Linked DNA regions of Arabidopsis thaliana. The protein of the gene in region 2 interacts with the protein of the main gene of each other region in a biochemical or structural test. Each region holds a gene or a part of one and is shown on either strand. Other genes may lie near its edges.

Region 1 (12,087 bases), on a different chromosome or scaffold from region 2:
ACTCACGGGTCTGCCTCACGTCGCGTGCAACTTCGCTTTTAATATTCCTCTAATTCTGTCTTTTTAAAAGTTAACATTACTAATTTTAAAAATAAACCCAAAAAAAGAGTTAAGAAGATATTTATTTGTTTCTGGAAGCATATATATATTTTAAGTTTCTATGATGCAAAGTGGTTCAAGTTGTTTTTGAGTAAAACAAAATTCGCATATGAACTCGACGAAATTCTACATGTTACGTTTGTGAAATGTGAACATGTTAATTAGTTGATCGATTGTTTGCATACAAATATTTTTTAAAAAATTAAATCACCGTTACTAATTCATAAAATATATAAGGCCATCCAAAATAAGTTTTTTTTTGTATTTAAATCTATTGATAATTAATTAATTAATAATTTATTTACTGCAAATTGGGAAAGCTTAATTTACTTGTTTAGTAGTAACTTTAGACTTTAGTTAGGTAGAATTAGGGGCGGTGTTGTGTCTCCGTGTAGTTGACCGTTGACTCAGGTTATTTTATTGTTTTTGATTAGCTAATAACATCATGGCTTAAGTATATTATTATTATTGCGTAACGGAAGACAGTTATTTAGTAGTTAATCACAGGTTAAAATCTACTAATATAAAATTAGTGTGTTAAGTGTAAAACTAAACTGATACTGAACCAAGAATCCGGTGGATTCCATAGGCCTAAAAGGCTATGACCTGATAAGACCTAGTTCTAGGGTTGGGGACCATACTGTATTAACCAGTTTTGGTTTTGGATATTTAATGTATTTATAACGAATTTTATAAAACCTTCATGAAAACCGTTTGCGTAAAGTCGAAAACTGTTGAATGGTCGATATATTACTAGAAGAAAAGCGAAACATATAAGTTTAAAATTTATAAGAGCATCCACATTACATATTTGAATTTTAAGAAAATTAGCAATATCTTAAAAGAGGATTGATGTTCGTAGCAAATTTTTTTTATCCCTTAGCAATATTTTCTTCTTCTACATTTTCAGTTTAAAGACAAACATGTGGGCATGTGGCTCAAATTACTTAAGATTTTACTACAGTTTTAACTTTTAACAATCAAATGGAAAAATATTGTGAGCTCGTCACAAAGTTACTTCCACCACCGACGAAGTTAGAGAACATGTTTTTTGTTCATGCATGCTGCATGCAAATATTCAATTTTATAGTAAACTAACATAGTTAATATAATACAAAGTTTTGATATTTTTTGTTAATTGGTTAATAAATGAAAATTATGACATTCCAGTAATATATTACAACAACAAATAATACGAAACTCGAAAAGTTTAGAAGGCTAGTATTTATAACTATGACAGGATTTGCATTTTTTGATCATTGCCGGTCTAAATGACGCACTTCCATGAATTCGCTTGGAAATTATGTTGCATATGTCGGCCACGACGTTTTTTTGCTCCTTAATTCCGTAGTCCAAATCCCTTTTATACGCGGAAAGTATTATTTTATAACATTAGAACTGATAAGTGTAGTTATAAAGTTTAACCAAAAAGAAAAGTGTAGTTATAAAACCTCCATAAAAAGAAGTAAAAATAATCATAGTTATAACAATTAGCATATTAAGAAGATTACACTGAGTTAAACGATATTAGTATATTACTCACACCAAGTAAAACGTACTACATTTTCTTTACCGTTATTAAAATGTCTACTACATGCCTGCACCGCTAATCAAGGCTAATTTTTCATTACCATGCAAACTTTGCATAGTTTAAATGGGTCAATGCAGGAACAATAATATAATAGAAGAAAATCTCAAAAAAAAATGACCAAATTAATTGAACGACAAAGAGAAAATCCAAGTTCGTGACTAAGAAGTGACTAGTCCATATACGTTAGTAGATATAGAGCCCCGCGCTTGAATCTCGACAAGACAAAACCATGAATTAATAAGGAACATGGTCACCTTCACATCACTTCGATTCGGACAAACGTAATATTTTTTATTATATCTTTTAAAAATCTCCTCTTTATAGCTAAACTCTTGTCTTCGATCTCCGAAAGCAACCTTTTGGACCAACGACCTCGAACACACACAAACAGAGTTTATAAACAGTGTTTCAGCCACTATTTAACTATTTCATCTCTACGTTAATCCATGAATATTTTTTATTTTCTCCTTGGGTAATAAAAGCCAATCATGGTAGATATTATTAACCGACCATCTGTGATATCAAATTGCGACAATGTGGGCAAATATATCTGTCATTTACACAGTAAAAGTAGTAAAGGATTCTATAAATTATATACACCAATAATTTGGCCCTCTTGATTGACTCGATGTGTGTATCAGAATTACACTATTTATAAGCTATAGTAATAGAAACTAATTTAGAAAATCCAACTCACATGATGGATATGTCTTAATGCCACCGTTTGTAGACCCCCGGCGTCCACTTTCGATTTTTTGGAGCTTTATTTGTCCATCTATTAGCGGATGGGTTGTTCCGAAAATTTCAAAACACTCGAATCGGTTTTGCGTTTTAGCTCGAGTTTTTCTTCCTCATTTTTTCTTCGTTTGCAATAGTGAAAATTACTTCTCAATGATGCACTTGTTGTACAACCAACATTTTTTCTTTTCAGTATAATTTAACATTTTATTCAAAAAAAAATAAAAAAAATTACTTCTTAATGCCTCATCATTTCGACCCCACATTCACTTTTTATTTTTGGAGCTTATTTTGATCCATATGTAAGTCAATGTGTTGTCCCAAAAAATGTAAATAACCAGTTTCTTTTTTCCTAAATCATAGTATTACAAATTATCTCGAAGACATTTTGACCTCCAACACTAAAACTTAAGAATAAAAGATGTACTAGTATTTTGAGATAAATGACAAATATCTTCTTGAATTAGGTCTTAGCTTGAAGATGAACAAGTGGGAGAGTAGACAAAACGTGGGATAGATTACGAGAAATTCAGAGGTGAAGGAACATAGTAAGAGAAAGGTAGGTTCGGCCACAGCAGATTCCTAGACCGGCTCTCATGCAGCACGATGCTTTATTTTGTATGCCTAACCATGTGACTGCAGTCTCTCCATTTAATTCAGTTGGCCGCTACTTGTTTCTTTGTTTTTTTTTCCTAACCATGGTTAGTTTGTAACACTGGTTAGTGGTTACTCACACACTTGTTACTACTTCCAACCTTTTTTTTCTTTTTTTTTTGTTGTCTTCAAAATGTAAGAAACTTTAATACTTCTTAATATGTTGATTGGTTTTGTCACTTTGTAGACCCCTGATTTTTAACTATTTCGGTAAACTTTTGTAAAACAATTTGGGTTTAAATCTCTCATGTTTTATTAGTTGTACATCTCAGCTAATGACAATAGCTCAAGTTAACGTATCATACAAAACAGCAAAATAGATTCGAATTTGATTTTTTTCTTTTTTCTTTCAGGTAGTTATATATATAACTAATGTATTGCAAATATTTGAAAAACATAAAGTTCAATGAATCTAAATTTGATAATTAGATTAACAAAATCGACATCACATGTATGAAATCGAATTCCTGAATATTCAAAATATTGTGTTTTTTTCATAAGTTCTTGCATGCATTTGCAAACGAAAAAAATCGATTTCATATGTTATATATATATATAGTCGTAGATATGTCGTAAGTACATTTGGGTATGAATATTTGGATAATTCATCATGGGTACTAGATTTCGCTGTCGTTCCATTTGTAAAATATCAGGATTTTTTAAGAAAAAGTTTTATACAAAACTGTATTACATGTTTGAATGAATGATCATACATATATATATTTGTTAAAATACTACTATTTAACACATTAAAAATGACATCCTGGAAAAAATTATATTAAATTTGAAATCTCTACATATTTTTGTGAAATATTTTGAAAATCATGCCAATATATATATGATTATATTCATTCAGTCATGGTGGATCATCATTTTGTACACCAAAACACATTCCCCATTTTCTTAAAAGAAAACTTCTATATATATATATATATATATATACAAATACTACTATTAGATGTGAATATGTAGAAATATTTGAGTCCCATGCGAACTTTACGTAAATATGTTGGGAAACGATTATATATATATAACTCACTTTTCTTATAGAAATAGATAGAACACAAATAGTGTGTGTAAAACTCACACATAATTAAATTCCATAGTGTTTTCGGTTGTTGAAAAACATGGAAAATGCCGAGGAGGTCTCGAATCTGATGTATTTATTTATCAATAATTTGGTAATGTGAAATAATAAACCAAAAAAAATAAAAACAAATCTTTAATGTTGGGAAAGAGATGTGAATGAAGGTACGGTCAATATATAGACAATGGTACGTAAAGCGAAGAGTACATTGCCACCCTGTAAACTCTGTATGCTCTATGTTTTCACGCTATTGATTTTCGCTTTTCCTCTGTCTCTCAACATTTATGTGTTCCATCGGTTAATTCTTGAATCTCGATTGTATTTAATTCCGACAGAATCTTAAAAACAAAACTATTTGATCGTAACACCATTTACGTTTTTCTTCTTCTTTCTTTATTAACAACATGTAATATAACGAGGATTTAAAATCAATGTTAGTGTGTGACTCAACAAATATCTTGGTCCATCAGTTACGTTTTTTTAATTACTCGATTTAATTGGATCATTTAAAGTAATCATCAACGTTTAACAAAAACACAAAATATGGTCCATTTAATACTATTGTATATTTTTGGCTTCTTTTCTCGGTCTCTTGTAAATTCTAATATAAGGAAAACAAACGTTGGACAATAATTTTGATACGGTACAATTATTCCATATGGTCGCTCTTTAAAAACACCCATTTGCAGTTATCTTTTTTCCTGATTTGAAATGGAAATAGACATATATAATATATATATATATATTCCTTTTGGAGCAAAAGTTAGGAAATAAATATATATTCTTCAGAGATTTTATGGCACATTGTATATATCTTAATAATATTCCATAGAATCAATACGGGTCATGAATCTCTCTTCACGATGGAATATATATGATTTATTAAGATGGAATCATGGAATCATATCATTTCTTTTTCACACTAATAAGGAAATTATCATATATATCAGAATCTCTACATTACACGATCCAATCTCAAAAGAATAATATATAATCGGCTTAAAATTCGAAACAGTAATTAAAAAATTTTCACATCTTCTACTCCGAGAAATTTGGGTTACAGATTAGAAGAGACCTTGTCATAATTACTACCCAGTAATTTTATTTAATTACCATCACGTGGTTAAACAAAGATATGTAGCATGCTAACTTATCCGCGCATTTTAGCTATTTTCCACTTAAAACATACTACTGTTTACTAACATACGCTGAGAGTTACAGTTCACACATCTTTTCTCTTCCTTCTTCTTCACTGTATATTAAGAACAATAAGCAATATCAGTTTTTTTTTTCCTCTGATCGAAGCCGCGGGAAAGTTATAATAATATAAAGATATTTTTCGTGAGAGTTGCTCGTTTATGGGAGAATCGTGTCAGATTAATTTCTATTTTTGTTGGTTTAATTTTCCATTTTTAATTTAATAATTTTAAGGAAATATTATTAGAGTGAAAGGAAAAAAAAAAAGATCTTGTGGGTCGCCATTATATATGCAGGTCTTTCTCCAACCTTTTGCTCCTTCTCTCTCAAGTGTCAAGAATCAAACAGTGGCTTAAACCCAAAAAAGGAACATGGGTATGTCTCTTTTTTCTTTCTTTCTTTTTTCTCATTGTTGATTCTTCTTCATACGATTTTTGGGTAAGATATTTCATTATTGGTTATGGGGTTTTCAGTATTTGGTAGTTGCAGGTTAAAGTTTTTGTTTTTCTTCTTCTTCTTGTGGTTTTTTTCTCTGTTAAGCTCTTTTAGAAATTTACCTAGGATTTGATGTCAGTGGTATCTCTCTGTTTATTGGTATTTACAAGAATACAGAGAGAAAGAAGAGATTATTATTCATGGGTTTTGTTCTGATTTTTGAAAGTTTCTGTCTTTGAAACTCACTGATTTTTTTATATTTGGGAATTTTTTGATTGCAGATGTTAGTATGAGTTTTTCACAAGATATGGATAATGAGTATGAGAAGCTGATAAGAAGAATGAATCCACCAAGGTATTAACTTTTTTCTTTCTCCTTCCTTTTTGTTATTATAACTACTTTTAATAGTGTGATATGATTTTGGATAAAAACCTCTGTTTTATTTTCCAGGGTTGTGATTGATAATGACTCTTGCAAGAAGGCAACTGTGATAAGGGTACACTTATAATTTTGGTTTATGTCTATATATCTTGTTTATTCATTTATGTAGACTTGTCCTGAATTTTTTGTTTTGTCTTCTTGATGTTGTTTAGGTGGATAGTGCAAATGAATATGGGATTCTTCTTGAAGTTGTACAAATCCTTACTGATCTTAACCTTACTATCACTAAGGCGTACATATCTTCTGATGGTGGTTGGTTTATGGATGGTATGTTCCGATTGTTAAATTTTCTTTTTTTTTGGATTCTCTTTACTTTAGAACAAGGGATTGATTCTCTTATTCTCTCTGCTACTTGGCAGTATTTAATGTCACTGATCAAGATGGTAACAAAGTCACTGATGAAGTTGTTCTAGACTATATCCAAAAGGTGAGTGTTTTTTTGTTAAACTTGTTATCTTCTTCTTATGTGTGAGTGAGAGTTTAATGAGTGTGTTGTGTTTAATTCTCAGTCTCTTGGGCCTGAAGCTTGTTTCTCCACTTCCATGAGATCAGTTGGTGTCATACCATCAACAGACAGCACGGTTATTGAGTTAACTGGATGTGACAGACCAGGTCTGCTGTCTGAACTGTCAGCTGTTTTGACCCATCTCAAATGCAGTGTCCTCAACGCTGAGATTTGGACACACAACACCAGAGCAGCTGCTGTGATGCAGGTCACAGATGACTTAACCGGGTGTGGCATTTCTGATCCAGAGAGGTTGTCTCGGATCAAGAACCTTCTCAGAAATGTGCTTAAGGGAAGCAACACACCAAGGGAAGCTAAAACCGTAGTGTCTCATGGGGAGGTCCACACGGATAGGAGGCTTCATCAGATGATGTTTGAGGATAGAGACTATGAACACCGTTTGGTGGATGATGATTCCTCTATCCAAGATGAAAGGCAAAGACCAGATGTTTGTGTTGATAATTGGCTCGATAAGGATTACTCTGTGGTCACAGTTAGATGTAAAGACAGACCAAAGCTTCTGTTCGACACAGTCTGCACTTTGACTGATATGCAGTATGTGGTTTTCCATGGAAGTGTTGATACTGAGGGCACCGAGGCGTTTCAGGTAAAGAAATATCCCATTACCATAGAGCAGAGAGTTTCCTTGAATCCATTTACTTATCGGTCTTTGTCTTTGCTTTGCAGGAGTATTATGTGAGACATATAGATGGATCCCCTGTGAAATCAGAGGCAGAGAAGCAAAGAGTCATACAATGTCTTGAAGCAGCTATCAAAAGAAGAGTATCTGAGGTAAATGATCCAGTAATATATAGTGTCTGGTATATACTCTTTCTGTAACTGTCACTGAGAGATCATTGTTTGATGTTTTAGGGATTGAAGTTGGAACTGTGCACGACGGATAGAGTAGGCTTATTGTCAAACGTGACTCGCATATTCCGTGAAAACAGCCTAACGGTCACAAGAGCTGAAGTGAAAACCAAAGGAGGCAAAGCTCTAAACACATTCTATGTCAGTGATGCATCTGGTTACTCAATCGATGCTAAGACCATAGATTCCATAAGACAAACCATAGGCCAAACTATTCTCAAAGTCAAGAACAACCCTCAAGAACAACAACAAAGACAGAAATCGCCTTCTCACGAATCACCGACAAGATTTCTCTTTGGGGGTCTCTTCAAGTCGAAATCTTTTGTCAACTTTGGCTTGGTCCGTTCCTACTCTTGAAGAACAACTTCACTTAGCTGTGAGGTTTCAATCTCATCTAGGTTTTAACTGCTTTAAACTTGAGAAGAATCTGTAAATCTATCGCCAGATATAATCTTAAATTCTTGGTCTAGGATCCAACTTTGGGTAGGGAAAAAAAGACAAAAGAGTTTTAGTTGATGTCATGACTAAGTGTTAAGTGTTAACCTACTCTTCTTGTATATATATCAAATCCTCATTATCTTCTTCTTCAGATTATTATGTCAAATTAAAATTTCCATGACTTGAAACAAAATAACTACAAAAGACATAATTATACTTCATAATTTAGTGATTTATGGGAAGAAATATGATTGAATGATTCCAAACAAACCTCCTAAATTTACACCAAAAAATTATTGGCTTATGATATCGAAAGAAAGACTCTAGCAAATTAAGAGACACCATTTCAAAGATTTTTTTTTGTGAATGAATGTAAAATTAATTCAACCAAAAAAATGTTTTCCATTAAATGTAACTTTTTCTAAAATCTTAAGCTGAAAATAATAGATATAGAGTCTTTAAGAATTTTCTTGAGCCAAACCAAATACATAGCCCAAGTGGAGAATGGATGAACATTACACATAATTGCAACAGATTTTTCATAGTAAATTTGTATAAAGAAATATAATCTATAGCATGTAACAAAAATGAACATGTGAGGGGGGGTGTAGATATTGTCACCACCGAACACTTTATGGGGCGTGAATACTGAAACTATGTCGATGACAATGTGTGTATGATAGATTCTCGAGTCACATGTTGAGACCAACAAAGTGATACACCTCCCCACCACCACACACCGCCCATTTAGTTTTCCACATTCATTGATAAATGTTACATATTTTTTGGCTTTTCAATTTGAAATTTCTCAGAATTTACTAAACTAACATATATATATATATTGACATGTGACTCGTCTCAATTACATGGCTTTCAGTGTGGGTTTAGGATTCTTCATGGCAGAGGAAATCTTTTAACTTTCAGAGATTGTCTTTATAAATTATGAGATTGCAGACTATCCCACATGCATATTTAACAACATTGTTTTTGAGTTTTAGTTTTCTCCAACTACAAAAAAAATGAATGATCTACAAAAATTTCATTTTCTTCTGATTATTAGAGATTAATGTGTGTTTGGCATGAGTGGTCGAATTTTATATACGGTAATAATAAAATGAGTTTTCTAAGTTTGAGAATATAAATAACAATAAGAAGAAGTAATTTTGTTTCATCTTTCACGGGTTAAGCTTAATGATTTATTCTATTTTATAGTGTGATTTGATTCAAAACATCTAAACTGTGTGAGATAGATGTAGTGAGAATTATACATTTTCCGATTTTCGTCTAGAAGATATGACGAATTAGCTAAAACCTAAAAATAAATACACGGCCGTACGCGGCCACATGTTGCCAACGATAACGCATTCCTCATGCCAAAATTAAAATTCTCATCTAATATAAGAAGACTAAACATAAAAATTGATTAAGAAAAGAAGAAAAACACACTAAGCATACTTCCCATTATAATAGATCTCATATCTATCCAATCCATTGACCATTGACCAGTTTTTTTTCTTGTTTGTTTTTTTTGCCATATTGAGTCAATACAGGCACCACCACAACAACCACACTTTCACCCAATTTCTATTTTTCTTACGTTTAAAAAAAAGGATTTTCTTCTTTATATTTATCCATACTATTAATTACTCTATTAAAATCCTCACGCTAAGCAACCCCTAATTTCGTTATCAGCTTAAAACCCTTTAAAAGGAAAAAAAAAAACATTCAACATTTTAAAACATCAACAAACCCAAACACCAATCCACACACAAAACAAGACTTGATACATTATTATCAAGAAGCAAGAAGCAAGAATGGAGGATTCAGGACGTAAAGGAGATCCATTTCCAGGTTTTGAGATGAGAGTTCACAACGACGATTGCGTTTTCCGACGATCTCTTAGCTGCCGGCTTCAGAGAAGAGCTCCTTGTCCTCTTCTCTTACCACCAAGACCTCCTCCTTCAGCGGAGGCTCCTTCTACTACGACAGGTGTTTCTACGTCTACGTTTTGTCAAAACGGCACAGATCCGATCCCTCTCTTGTCTCCTCTCGTCCTTCCTTCGATGCTTCAACCTAATCCAACCACCACCTCTCACTAATTCTTCTTTTGTCTAGATTCCTTCTTCTTTCTTCTGTAATGACTATTTTGAAACTCTTTTTTTTATTGAAATTTTCAACATATTAACGTAGATACAAATCTGTTATTGTCTCTATACAAATTTCACAAAGATCGTCTTCTCTCAATCTTGATTATACTGAAGATTTTATTTTGTTAACACATCATTTATAGTTTGTACAAATACAACTAGATTTTAACCCGCGGTATACCGCGGAACGATTTATTTTTAAAAATAATATATATTGAAACTTGCAAATTTTATTTTTACAAAATATTTATATTTTACAGTTTATAATTGTTATTAAGTAATAGTACACCACGAATTCATGAGACAGTTGTTAAAAAAACTGAAGTTTTGATCCCTATTAAAACAGCATATTTTATAATTTTTTAAAATTTTATAAATATTGATTCAAATACATCCACCATATAACCCAATTCCAAAATAAAACACGTTCTGTAATTTCTTTACCCGTTCCATGATTTTTTTTTTAAGTAGTAATTTTTAAAATTTAAGAATTATATTTTATATATAAAAGTTTTGCAAATTGTATCATTCTCTAATACATTTATATTTTATAGTTTAATTTTATATATAGTAATATTATACATACCACATAACATTTTTGGTTTTATATAATTTTTTCTAAATTAGGATGATTTGATATGTTTAATATTAGTGGTCTTAAAAAAATAATAAATTAAAGATTTAACCCATATTGAAATTAAATTAAATTAATTAAAATTTAGATATCAAATCTTATATGTTGATTTTGATTGGCTATTATTTTTGGAAATTAATAATGTATTTCGTTTTTTAATTAATTTAATTAATTAAATTAGTATTTGACTTTTTAATCCTTAAATACATAAATTAATTTACTCTTTAAAATTTTATTTCTAATGGCATACCTATGTAATTACTTACAAAAATTAAGGTTAGATTTAAAATGTACTTCCCAAATAATATAGTAAGATATCATCAACTTTTATTTTTGATTTATTGTCTCTTAATGAAATTATTCAAGGAGTGTGTGCACCTCACGCCACTCACACCAATTAATACCTATAGACTTTGGTCTAATGTAACTGGAATTGGTCCAAAAATTAGAGAAGACAAGACCTCTTTACATGCTTCCAGAGCTACCAACAAACCCAATAGAAATTTTGTTGTTGCAACAATCTCTTTAATTAATGTACAAGTTTCTTTCAATCACCATAAACCTTGATTTCTTAGTTTTTTTTCCCACAAATTCTACCAACAATTTATTGTTTTTCTTTTTATTATGTTCTTAATTCTGATCTTTCTTTGGTGAGTTTTTTTTTTTTTTAATTTTGATAAAGAAAAGATAAGTTTGTGAGTTTAAACACTAACCCTGTTAATTTTTCTTCATCACATTGTTAATGATGCGTTGACATAGGAACCTTTTTCCTATACCACAAAAATTTTTCTTTTTTTTTTCTTTTTTTGTGTGTGTGTAAAACTCCACAAAAATTTAACTAAGAGTTAAAACTGATGAAAAATCTTAATTTTTTGGTAAGATTTATAGAAAAATGAAAAAGGTTTTTTACGATTTGTTTTAATTAACTATAGATAACCACCTTATTTAGATACGACGACCAAATTAATTGTCGTTTGGTTAAAGGTCATAAGAGTATTAATTGGAGCCGTCAGATTATTTATTGACTTAAATATACCTCACTACTTTTACATTTCTGCATTATCTCTACATACCATATATTATAAGACTTAATTTCGGATATATATGTGTTACCAAAATTGAAATTCTCTCATTTACATATGTTTCCTTTAAAATTTAAAACATGATTTTACCCACTTGATGATCACGAAGAAGAAAAGGAAATCAAAATAAGATATGATGTACTATATGAAATTGCGACTTGATGATTAC
Region 2 (12,903 bases):
TATATTATATATAAAGAATATTTGTCATGTTATTTTCCTCTATTTATATATATCTTTTTGGTTGTTGGTGTGATGACTAGGGTTTTGAGATTGTGGGAATATTTGTCGACGTAGAAGAATCTAAGTAACAGATGTGATTGGTGAAGTCCAAAAGAAACTAGGGTACTTCGATTTACATATACACACTATACATGTGAATATATATGTATATATAGTGAAGAGAAGGTCTATGTTTGTATGCTGTGAGTTTCAAAGCGACCCTTATGTCACCTTTGTCCCCAAATGAATCCAAACTCTCCTATCTCTTTCTTTGTTCATGTCTTTCTAAATGTGTACATTTGACCACATTTTTCAGACCAAAGAATATAAGCAGTGCCTGGTTTTCTTTCTTTCTTATATATTCGTATATATCCATGTGATTATGACGAACTGTTTTACTTTTAGTTGAGATTAATTAAGTGTTAGCGAAATGTCTAGTCTACTGTTTTTGTTGATCATATGGAAAAGACGTGCATTTATGCATGACACAAAAATGCTTAAACGTATATTCGAAAAAGTAACACTTTATATACGTTGTATATTTAGGACGCCAAATTTCATATTATGTACGGCTACATGTACAATGAAAGTGTGATGAGACTTGAGAGGATTAACCAAAAATACTGAAAACTTACTTTAATTTACTTTCTTTTAGTTTATTTTACTAATCGAATTTTGGCTCTAAAGTTTCGTGTGAATAAGAAGAATATGTTAGAATGTATAATGATGTGTATCCGTATCTAGTGAGGTTTGTACATATCTGTTATATTTATAATGAAAGTGTTTTGAAATATTGTAGAGATACTATGTTTGCTATGTATCTCTATTCTGGTTTCTTCAATAGGTATCCGTTTTGTTTATAGAAAATGGCTCACCAACTTGCCTCTATGGGAGGCTGGGGATATATGAACCAAATGACTCAATAATATAGCCAATTAGACCATTAGTAAATTGGAATATATATGAAGAAGAAGGTGAATGTGGGATTAAAGGAAGAGGAAGCGTGAGAAAAGGAGACTGACAAAAGGAAATAAAATTGATGGGCCATTGGCTCTATGAGACAAAAAGGACCGACTCTTCTCATCACTCTCCCTTTTCCCTTTCTCTCTTTTTTAATAATTGTTTTCTATAAACTATAATTTTATGGCGAATTTAATAAAATAATATTGAAGAAAACTAAGAGAAGAAGAAGAAGGAAAAAAAAAGGTGGAGAAAGTTTGTCCATGGAGCGTGATGGTTTTGGGGCAGCTGGTGTCCCCTCTATACTCAACCTCTCGACCAAAAAGTATATCTTATAGAAATATTTTTAGCTTTTGCACTATATATTATTGTTAAAGTTATATTTGTATTCAACTCAAAAGAAACTATAGAAAAACTTCTAATTTTTTTAAAAATTCCTTCTGAAGTTTATGGGTAGTGTGGCAAAAGCAATCATTAACCTCACACGTTAGTGTTCCATCGTGTGAACATGTGAGTGCCCTTTCTTATCTCACCACACAATTTTGACCATCCTATTTCCTTTTTGAATATCACTATTTTTTCTTTGTGTTTACTTTGTTTTATCTACATTTCACAAACAAGCAAATAGAAGTTATCATATTATATGTCAAATATGTGTTTGTTTTCATGTGTTCTTATTGTCTTTCTTGGTCAAGTGTTCTTGTTTACCTACACAGACAAATGTGGGAACCTTTTCACTTACTTCGGGGTTTTACCGGAAAGTTAGAAAACCTTACTAAATTATTGCTTTGCTATTAACAAAGATATCTTACTCATTCTTTAAACCAGTGTTTCATTTTGTCCATTGTCAGAACTTATATTCATTTTAACGTTTTAATTGATCTATCGTAGTAGTGAACCATCTCTAAAATAAAAATTCAATACTAATTGAAAATCTAAAACCAATAGATATTAAGAAATCATTTGTTAAATTAACTTACATCTATACATCTATATATGCGACTACTGTCTAGTTTATCTGGAATCCACAATATGTTTTTTGTTTCTCCAAAAACTTTTTGATAACTTTAAAAATCTAGTAAATGCAACATTTTCTAACCTTTTAAAGTATATTTGAGGGTTAAACCGAGAATTAAGACTTACAAGTCTTGGGATAATCACTCTATAAGAAACACTTTATTGTGGTTTGGTTCACTTTTAAACCTTACTAGATATTTTCTAAAAGTTAGTATACATAAAAGTTTACAAATTGTATCTATCTATAAAAAAAATTATTTTATAGTTTACAATTGTTATTAAGTAACGTCTTGCCAAACCCGTCCCGCCAACCCGTCCCGTAAAAAACTATTTATTTTATTAATATTGATCTTATTTATGATATGTTTATGAATTATTGTCTAAATATTTTGTAATTTTGTAGTAATTAAATGCTATCAAATATCTCTGCGGTTTGATGATTATAATCGAATTATTATAGTCATGGAGAAAAGCAATATCAAAAATAATAATTTTGTAATAATTAAATGATATTAAATATTTTGCAAGTTTTATTTTAGTAACTAATCGTGTAGTTAATGTTGAGAGATTTAGGGAAGATTGTTAAATGTCAAATATTTAATTATTCAAAGATTTTTTTTTCTAATTATCAAAAACAAACATTAAAATCTAGTGGCAGTTATTGTAAATAATTCCCAACTATAGGATTTATTTCACAAAATGGCTGCTATATAGATTTTTTAGATAAAACCGATCAAACTCTTTTTCTTTTCAATTATTAAACTCTTTGATGGGTTAAGAAACATAAAAACAAAAAGGAAAACAGAGGAGAAGAATCGAGGATCCAAAAGCCCATCTAAGGTGAGAGAAGAGGGGTCCAAACTGAGATTGGAACAAAATCGGTTTTAGGGTTTCAGAAAGGCCCAAATTAGATTCGAGTAGAGCAGTCCCACAGTGACTCCGACATGACAACACTTGAGTTACACAAGACCACCACGTCTCTATACTCTAAGTCTATGCCGTACGTCAAAGGCACCAACTCTTTCATCACATATATTATTAATCAATTTATACAAAACTCCAAATAATTCACGGGACCAATACTGAATCGAAACTAAACGAATTTGTTAAAATCGGACTTTGTAGATGCAACCGAAACAGAGTAAGTACATGAAAATACGTACAACTGCATGTGATTTATTGTGAAATTCTATGGGAAAAAATTGAATTGACATATTATGCAAAATGCCCGTATGTTACATAAACTTTTATTTTTGTGTGTGTGACTTAACATGAGTGTATAAATGGAACTTTTTTTGTTTTATTTTGTTTCATATAAGAATTTACGATGTAGGAAAAAAATTAGAAATGAAAAGAGGTGGCAAAAGAAAAAGAAGTGGGAGAAAATAGATGTCAAGGAATATTGATATTCTTCTTTTCTCCGATACATTACTTTTCCTTCCATTATCTTCTAGTAATAATTTAGGCTTTTGCTGCCAAATAACTCACAACCAAAAAAGCCCACCGAGGAAGATGGTTGTTAGGGTTTTTCTCTGTTTTATACTTTCCTTGGGCTATCTTACGTACGTAAAATATTTCTTTATATATTTGTCTAGTTTCATCTTCAATCTGAAAATATTATTCAAGTTTCAGGTACGATTCATCAATCTTTGTATTGTAAATTGACTCTTCTACAAAAAAAAAAATGAAAATAGAAATAAGAACCAATAACTAAACTTAAAGAATTAAATATGCTAATTTCAATTCCAATGTGCCAACAATGAACGCAATTATTTGATCTTAGACTAAAATAATCACTCGAGGAACTCGTTTCAAAAGAAAGAAACCAATCAAATCATTGCCTTCCAACTACGGATACTGAGTTTTTTTAACTCATTATAACACGTGAGATCGTCACTATCTCACGCATTTTTCTTTTTGGGTGGGTAATTCACTATCTCACGGATTACATAAATGTTTATGGATTATGACGATTGGCTGCATTGGAAGATGTATAGCCCAAGAAAACATATTTAATCCAGTATGATAGCCTTGTGATGCTCTATAATTTAAAGCATGGTTTTATATATAACTGTGACGTAAATATCAAGGTCTAAAAGCATTGTCATTTTATTTTTATTTCGTATAAATGAAAACTTTAGTCTAAAACACCCGGTCATGTAAAAGTTAAAGGAAAAAGAAAAGAATGATAGCTGATTAATTATGGCAATGTCGTACTATACTACGTCGAGAACTATTCATGATTAGATATTCATCGGTATGATAAATCATATATATGTGATGTGCCTAGTGCAGAAACCCAAACTATTATTTATTTATCTACTCCTTTGGGCTTTGACGTGCAAGTAAATTCTTAGATGTTGTTTTCGAAGTTTATGGGTAGGCAAACCAAAATCTGGAATGAGATATAGAAGAAACAAAAAGAATTTCGAGAATGAAAATTATGTCTCATTTTAAATTCAAATGAACTATAATTCATAATAAGAACATATGTTAAATGATGTTTTTACAACTTGATATGGATTTAAATTACATAAAAGAGAAAACACAACTTTTACCTACTCCTTCTCACAACTCATTCATTTTTGGTGTAAAGTTGATATATGTGGTGGACAAGTGAAATTTGGCAAAACTTGGTTTAACAATTGGCTAACCCTATGAAACAAATTAGGCCTTTGGGTAGAGCTTTCTTTTATCAAGTACCAACTTCGAGGTTATATATATGCTCTGCTTTTATATATTTTGGCATGATTCTAGGACTCTTTTGGATCCTTCGATTGATATTTGTAGACATAGCAAAATTGGCAGTGCAAAGATAAGGTTGCTGTGTAAGTCTTGATAGAATTTAGCAAATATAGAGACTACTCATCTCGTCTATTCTCTCTCTATAAGTTAAAATTGATGGGTTTGATATCAACAAGACATTACAATATTTCTAAAACATAAGAATATCTATACATTAGCCATCAATTAGCAACAAATTTTTTAATAATCAATTTACCATCATAATTTTGTAGCAAGTTGGTGAAGGAAGACTCTTTTCTTGGCAGCCAAACATCACATTAATCCCATTTTAACAATAAAGTGATTAAAAACTAAAAGAACTGAATAAAATAAAAACAAAAGAAATGAATGAAGCCTTTGGCTTTGCTTTTTCTCTTTTTGATTCTCTCCACTTTATTTTTCTTGTTGCTACTGCTAAAAAAAGCATCTTCTTCTTCCTTTTTTCATTCTTAAGAGTCTTTTGCTTTTCCTTGTTCGACTCTCTCTTTTCACTTATTTAGCTTTTGCTTCTGATTGGAACTAAACTCAATTCTCTCCTTCTTCCTCCTCTTTGCGTGTGGTTTATCTTCCTCTAATTAATCTATTGATCTCAATTCTCAACCTTTTTGTTAATTTCAATTTCCTTACCCCTCTCTGCGTTCTGGGTTTCCGAGTCTCGATTTCTGGGATTTCTTGCTTCTCACATGAATCTGTTTCGCAACCTAACTTATTCATCGGAGTGATATCGATATTCTTCTCAAATTTTGAAGCTTTTCGTTTCGAATTGACAATTCATGGGGATCTGTCATGGAAAACCCGTCGAGCAACAATCAAAAAGCCTCCCAGTTTCCGGCGAAACTAATGAAGCTCCGACGAATTCACAGCCACCGGCGAAATCCTCTGGCTTTCCGTTTTATAGCCCGAGTCCTGTACCTAGCTTATTCAAATCCTCACCATCTGTATCTTCTAGCGTGAGCTCAACGCCTCTTCGTATCTTCAAGAGACCTTTCCCTCCTCCTTCTCCTGCTAAGCACATACGAGCTTTCCTCGCGCGTCGCTATGGCTCTGTCAAGCCTAATGAGGTTTCGATTCCCGAAGGTAAAGAATGTGAGATCGGTCTCGATAAGAGTTTTGGCTTTTCAAAACAGTTTGCTTCACACTATGAGATTGATGGTGAGGTGGGTCGTGGACATTTTGGATATACTTGCTCTGCTAAGGGTAAAAAAGGTAGCTTGAAAGGTCAAGAAGTTGCTGTTAAAGTTATTCCTAAATCAAAGGTTCGATCTTTGAAACTGAAAATCAATTTCTCTTAATTCTGTATTCGTTATGTTGTTTTGAAATATATGACAATGATTTCGAATTCTAGTTTTATCGCCATGTGTTTATAGAAGTATACAGCTTGTTTCTCGACCCCGAGTCATTGCTTAGTGTTGAATGGTTTTGACTGCAGATGACAACTGCAATTGCGATTGAGGATGTTAGTAGAGAAGTGAAGATGTTGCGGGCTTTGACTGGTCATAAGAACCTAGTCCAGTTCTATGACGCGTTTGAAGATGATGAAAATGTTTATATTGTCATGGAGTAAGTATACATTTCTCAGTGAGATGTCTTAAGATCATTTGATTTTCAATTCCAGGATTGCAATAAATATATTGTAATCTCCTTTTACCAGATTATGCAAAGGTGGTGAACTCTTGGACAAAATACTTCAAAGGTAATTGCTAATCACACATGGCTCTGTATCTGATTGATTTTCTCTTCTGAATCGTGCTTTGACTGGTTGAGCTTGATCTAATTAGGGGTGGAAAATACTCCGAAGATGATGCTAAAAAAGTTATGGTTCAGATTCTCAGTGTTGTGGCTTACTGTCATCTACAAGGTGTGGTTCACCGTGACCTTAAACCCGAGGTACTTTATAATCCATGGTGATGTTTAATTTCTAGATTGTTCTCTCATTGTTTTTTTTTGTAAATCATTTTGGCTTTTGTTGACACTTCACTTTCTAGGTCCCATCACATTAAGCAGTCTTTGTACACATAGAAATGAGTTCCACTAACTTATGCAGAGTGATAATGACGGTTATGTTTCTTTCTATTTGTTTGTTTACCTTTCACAGAACTTTCTTTTCTCTACCAAGGATGAGACTTCTCCTCTGAAAGCAATTGATTTTGGTCTTTCTGACTATGTCAAGCCAGGTTAGAGATGTTGAAATTGACTCAAGATTTCTCATATCAAACTCATCTTCATGTTAAATAGAAAATTTGACGGTGTTTTGCAATTCTGCAGACGAGAGGTTGAATGATATTGTAGGGAGTGCTTACTATGTGGCCCCGGAAGTTTTACACCGTACATATGGAACAGAAGCTGACATGTGGAGTATAGGAGTGATTGCTTATATTCTTCTCTGTGGCAGTCGACCCTTTTGGGCCCGTACTGAATCCGGAATCTTTCGAGCTGTACTAAAGGCAGAACCGAATTTTGAAGAAGCTCCTTGGCCTTCTCTATCACCCGAAGCTGTAGATTTTGTGAAGAGATTGCTAAACAAAGATTACCGTAAAAGACTAACTGCGGCCCAGGCTTTGTGTAAGTATAATATCTTTGATCTCTATAACAGGTTTAACACATCATTATTTTGTTTTCATGGTTCTGCACTTCTTATATTCTGAACATCTGAGTAATCAATTGTCTTTTTCCTCAGGTCATCCCTGGCTGGTTGGCTCGCATGAACTAAAGATTCCATCTGATATGATCATATACAAGCTTGTAAAAGTGTACATAATGTCAACTTCATTGAGAAAATCGGCTTTAGCGGTGAGTTTGATTCCACAGAAGCTGTGACATATATACTACTTACTTAACAATTTCAATTGTTGAGTTCTTTGAATGAAAACTTTATGATTAATGGGTTTTGTTTTTCATGGTTTTAGGCTCTTGCCAAAACATTAACTGTACCGCAGTTAGCGTATCTTCGGGAGCAATTCACATTGTTGGGGCCAAGCAAAAATGGATATATCTCGATGCAGAATTACAAAACAGTGAGTTGTTTTTCCATGATTCCATCAACCTCTTCAGTTTTCTTTTGCGATCTTCTGTGATTATTGAACTTTCCTCTACAAATCTCAGGCAATCCTAAAGAGTTCAACAGATGCTATGAAGGATTCTCGAGTGTTTGATTTTGTTCACATGGTAAGAAAGCTATAAATATAAGGACTATAAGCTTAATCATTAGGTTTGGTGGTTTAACGTTGTAATCTCTGTTGGGATGCAGATAAGTTGTCTTCAATACAAGAAACTAGACTTTGAAGAGTTTTGTGCTTCAGCATTAAGCGTTTATCAGCTCGAAGCAATGGAGACATGGGAGCAACATGCACGGCGTGCTTACGAGTTGTTTGAGAAAGACGGGAATAGGCCCATCATGATTGAAGAACTTGCATCGGTATAAGTTTTACCCTTTTTAATTCACCTAGGGGCTAGAGAAGACTCGTGAAGAGCAAAAAACCTGGTCATGCTTGATCTTAAGCATCTGTATGTTTTAAATTGCAGGAACTCGGACTAGGGCCATCAGTGCCGGTGCACGTTGTTCTTCAGGATTGGATAAGACATTCTGATGGCAAACTTAGTTTCTTAGGGTTTGTCAGATTGCTACATGGCGTGTCTTCTCGGACCTTACAAAAAGCTTAGAGTAACGCCATTGTTAGATGAGAAAAGATGCAACTAGGTGGAGTAGATCTGGTTTCTTCTTTCCTCTCCACTTCTTGATAGTTTTTTTAGTTTTCTTTTTCTATTCATGGTTAAGCTTCTGAGTCAAAGATTCGATAATTATGTCTGTGAGTGTATTTGTGTGTGGTGGGAAGGAAAGGTTTATGAAGAAGAGGAATGTACAGAATGAGACATATCCGATTGGTGTTTTTAATCCAGTGATGTTTACGTGTGAAGCACTCTTTTAATGGCAGCCGGAAAAAACAATTTGTCTTTGTGCCATCGTTGGATCAGAGCAATGATACGACACGTGATTGTGTCTCACATTGTCAGAGACAACCACGTGACTTTGACCTTAAGATCTCTGATCTCATCTTAATCTCTACCTAACCGTCGCAAAGATTCTTTCTTTCTCTCTTCTTACTCTGATCTAGACACTACAACAGTTTCATTAATGGCGACAATGAGCAAACCCCATAAGTTAAAAGCCACTCCAGGATCTCAAAGACTTGTTCTGTTATGTATAGTCGCAGTTGCATTTCTCCTCCTTTTCACTTCGGTGATCTCCACCGGCGGATTGGCTTTACCGTATCGGACAACCCTAATTGGTTATTTTGTGAGGTCAACTCGAAACAAGACACAGCATAGTTTGTCGGACAAGTACTTGTACTGGGGAAACAGAATCGATTGTCCTGGTAAGAACTGTGAGACCTGTGCCGGTTTGGGTCACCAAGAATCTAGCCTTAGATGTGCCCTTGAAGAAGCCATGTTTCTGAACAGGTAACTTTTGCAAAATCCACCAATATGTCAAACTTTTGAGATTTCTGATGAAGTTCTTGAAATGGCAATTAGCCTATCTGGTTCAATGAGATGGTTAGTTGAATAAATGATGCAGCTCTCTTGGTAAAGATGGTCACTGTAATTGCAATTTTCTTGTTGCAGGACTTTTGTAATGCCATCTCGGATGTGCATCAATCCAATACATAACAAGAAGGGTATACTTAATCGATCCAACAATGAAACTAGAGAGGAAAGGTGAGAGTTTCTTTAAACTACTTCAAAAACTTAGGTTTTGTTTTGTTTCCCACTTTTGAACACAAGAGGTCTCTCTCTCTCTCTCCTTTGTATGTTCTTAGTTGGGAAGTGAGCTCTTGTGCAATGGAATCATTGTATGATATTGATCTCATCTCTGAGAAAATACCTGTGATCTTGGATGACTCGGAAACATGGCACATAATGCTATCGACGAGTATGAAATTGAAAGAACGTGGGAGTGCGCATGTATATGGGGCAAACAGGCATGAGCTAAATGACTCTAGCGACTTTACAAATCTTTTGCTCATTAACCGAACCGCAAGCCCCCTTGCATGGTAAGCATTGCTGAGGAAATTGTGTTTCCAATAGATTGGGAAGTTGCTGCTCCTTGAGCATTATTTTCTTATCTTGTTTGTGTTAGGCATCATCATTATCAGATCATATATCTATCTTCATTGTAGGTTTGTTGAATGCAAGGATCGAGGTAATCGTAGCGACGTCATGCTTCCTTATTCATTTCTCCAGACTATGGCAGCATCAAGATTGAGAGATGCTGCAGAAAAGGTGAAGGAGTTGCACATAATCTAGCTTTCAGGAAAGAGTGACCAGATGGTAATGTACTGTTGACGCCTTATAGCTTATTTATGACCAGTTTTGGTTGAACAGATAAAAGCAAAACTTGGTGATTACGATGCAATCCATGTTCGTCGAGGTGACAAACTGAAAACAAGAAAAGACAGATTTCGCGTGGAAAGAAGCCAGTTTCCACATTTAGATAGAGACACACGGCCAGAATTCATCATTGGCAGAATTCAGAAACAAATCCCACCAGGACGGACTCTTTTTATCGGTTCTAATGAAAGAACCCCTGATTTCTTTTCACCTCTAGCTATCAGGTAAAACCATAATGTTTAGATTCAAGTTTTTAGTTATATATGTAGAATGTTCGTGTAAGACTCTTGTTACACTGCAGATACAAAGTGGCGTATTCATCGAATTTTAGTGAGATTTTGGATCCGATCATCGAGAACAATTACCAGTTGTTCATGGTGGAGAGGTTGATAATGATGGGTGCAAAGACATTCTTCAAAACATTTAGAGAGTACGAAACCGATCTCACTTTGACTGATGATCCGAAAAAGAACAAGAACTGGGAAATACCAGTTTACACCATGGATGAAGGCAAAGAAGCAGCAAGCTAAACTATCTATGATCTCACTAGGCACTAGCAAAGTCTACACAACGATTCAGACAAGAGTCTCATTACTCTTCAAATACTTGGAGTTAAAAGCCTAATCTTATCTGAAGATTCTATTGCATAGGAACTCTGTGTATGTGTAACCAGAGTCTCTAACAGAGACTAACAGACTAGATTTGCTACTTGGCTGACTCATTTTTGTGTAAATCAATCTGTTTATCTTCACTTCAATGTTCATTGCACCAGAAATGGTTTTTTAAAAACATTCGAGTTACATGGTATGGTCGTTCGTCTTTTAAGCAAGTTTCTGCAGCCACTTTCGATATCCTAATCCAATATAAGTGAAATTTCATATTTTCTTTCTTTTCTAAAGAGAATAGGTTCTGTGAAAGGTTAAATGGATCAGTAGATTTTAATCAGATAAGCCTCTTCATATTTTTTTCAAATCTGTACTTACATAACATAACCTAGGCACTTTGTTCTAAAACTACAACGGCAAACAAAAGAGGCCAAAAGAAAACCTAAAAGAAAGATAAAGAGGATGTAAATCAGATCATTTACTGGACATATTATCGTCAATGCAAGGCCATTTCCGTTGTTAGAACGCAGCAGAAGAATACCTCTGTTGTACAATGTCTTCATCTCGAATCAACAATGTTTCTGAAACTTCCTAGTAAAGAAGGTTTAGTGAGAGTGTGCTTCAAGAAGGATGTTGGTGGCAGCGTTGACATCATTTCTGGCGTGTACAAGCGCCTGTCTCGCTGCATTCTGGTCAAATCCCATAGATACCAAAGTAGCTATGGCTTCCTCTGATGGCTCTGTAGTTGACGGCATTGGAGCTCGATAAGCTCTCTGAGAAACAGAAACATTACATATCAGTAAATGAAGATGTGTTATTTAGATTGTGATAAGAGTTTGGCTAAAGAGGCAAAATATAAATGGTGCAGAGATAAAGACTTGCCACTGCTTGGCGACCTAAGTTGGGTGATGTCCTTCTTGGTGGTTGAGAATGGCTGCTCAAGGAGGGTAAGGAAAACCGGGAGAATAACGAAGCCATGAACTCCGGGAACTGTCGTACATTTAAAACAAAAACTAGTGTTAGTACCACTGTGTTACTAAAGTGACAAAAGCCCCACGTTTGAGGAGATGAATGTAGTTTGTTTTTAAGCAAGAGTTGGGAAGGTATAACCTTTGCCTTGCGAATACCAAAGATGTTCAACCGATACAAGGAACCAGCAATTATACCGCAAATTCCAGTAAAGATGGACCTTTTCCATGATGATAGTAAAAGCTACAAATATTGAAACCGAGACAATTATCAATGAAAATAAGAAGAAGAATAAGAAGTCCTACAAATAAACATATGGTATTGTTTACCTGGACACCTGCAAGGTATATGAATGATTTATCAGAGAAGTGGACGCCCAATACACCAAACCTCTTTGTAACTGGAATATCCAAGAAGAAGGGTACAAAAGAAGCGAATACGAGGGCGTATGGTCCAGATGTCAGTAGGTTTGCAGTAGGATCTACAAAAAAGACAGCAGTTTGTTATATACCCACTATCAATAACTGTAAAGTGTTTGTGATACGGAGTGTATAAAAGGTCATATCAAAAATGCTTATTAAGAATGCACAAAAAGCATTTCTTGATAATTTAAATGATGGACCAAGGGAATTCTTTATAAGATATTTTCAATAGTATGAGTGAAGGAAATTGCAGGTCAGAATTTGAAACCAACAAAGATCGTCACAATATCCCAATCCTCCCTTCACAGTTTTCCTTCGATGAGTGGGGAAAGACTAGTAACAAGGCTAACTAATAACTACAATCCCATATAGTTGTCTGCATTAGCGCCCCCAAATCATATCATAAAGGTAAATCATATCAAACCGGTCTAGTTTTTGAAGAGACTATCTGAAAATAGGAAGGTTTACCTTTAGTCAATGATAACAAAATGGTCTCTAGTATTAGTGATACAAATCCAGAGAAGAAGATGAAAACCTGCAGAATGAGCACATATTAACTCATAGAATTTCAATCTCAAAGGAAATATCAGCAGGTATCTTGCTATTTACCAAAATAATAGACAAAAAAAGGTCATGAAGAAAAAACTGAGCTAGACTATCCCTTACCGAATACTTATTTGAACCAATCTGTCTCTCAAAGACTCGGAAGAAGTATAGCAAAT

What was found.
Region 1: of the proteins of CRK1 (region 2) and ACR4, one has a biochemical effect on the other in vitro, tested with the Arabidopsis thaliana proteins (one study listed by BioGRID).

The regions. Positions count from the first base shown.
Region 1 is NC_003070.9:25,952,106-25,964,192, forward strand, and holds ACR4 (ACT domain repeat 4), read left to right. Parts: upstream 1-5,461; 5' UTR 5,462-5,737; coding exon 5,738-5,741; exon of another isoform or gene 5,742-6,082; coding exon 6,083-6,155; intron 6,156-6,251; coding exon 6,252-6,297; intron 6,298-6,394; coding exon 6,395-6,509; intron 6,510-6,601; coding exon 6,602-6,669; intron 6,670-6,751; coding exon 6,752-7,354; intron 7,355-7,434; coding exon 7,435-7,539; intron 7,540-7,620; coding exon 7,621-7,974; 3' UTR 7,975-8,296; downstream 8,297-12,087. Other genes in the region: AT1G69050 (uncharacterized protein), read left to right, coding at 9,870-10,154. UniProt on the Arabidopsis thaliana protein: May bind amino acids.
Region 2 is NC_003071.7:17,144,919-17,157,821, forward strand, and holds CRK1 (CDPK-related kinase 1), read left to right. Parts: upstream 1-5,176; 5' UTR 5,177-5,573; coding exon 5,574-6,056; intron 6,057-6,229; coding exon 6,230-6,360; intron 6,361-6,451; coding exon 6,452-6,493; intron 6,494-6,578; coding exon 6,579-6,687; intron 6,688-6,895; coding exon 6,896-6,974; intron 6,975-7,065; coding exon 7,066-7,362; intron 7,363-7,477; coding exon 7,478-7,590; intron 7,591-7,706; coding exon 7,707-7,814; intron 7,815-7,902; coding exon 7,903-7,965; intron 7,966-8,047; coding exon 8,048-8,215; intron 8,216-8,322; coding exon 8,323-8,460; 3' UTR 8,461-8,775; downstream 8,776-12,903. Other genes in the region: AT2G41150 (plant/protein), read left to right, coding at 8,933-9,258, 9,421-9,513, 9,615-9,848, 9,975-10,077, 10,180-10,409, 10,487-10,715; AT2G41160 (Ubiquitin-associated (UBA) protein), read right to left, coding at 11,396-11,563, 11,673-11,780, 11,901-12,002, 12,089-12,240, 12,650-12,716, 12,848-12,903. UniProt on the Arabidopsis thaliana protein: May play a role in signal transduction pathways that involve calcium as a second messenger. Serine/threonine kinase that phosphorylates histone H3.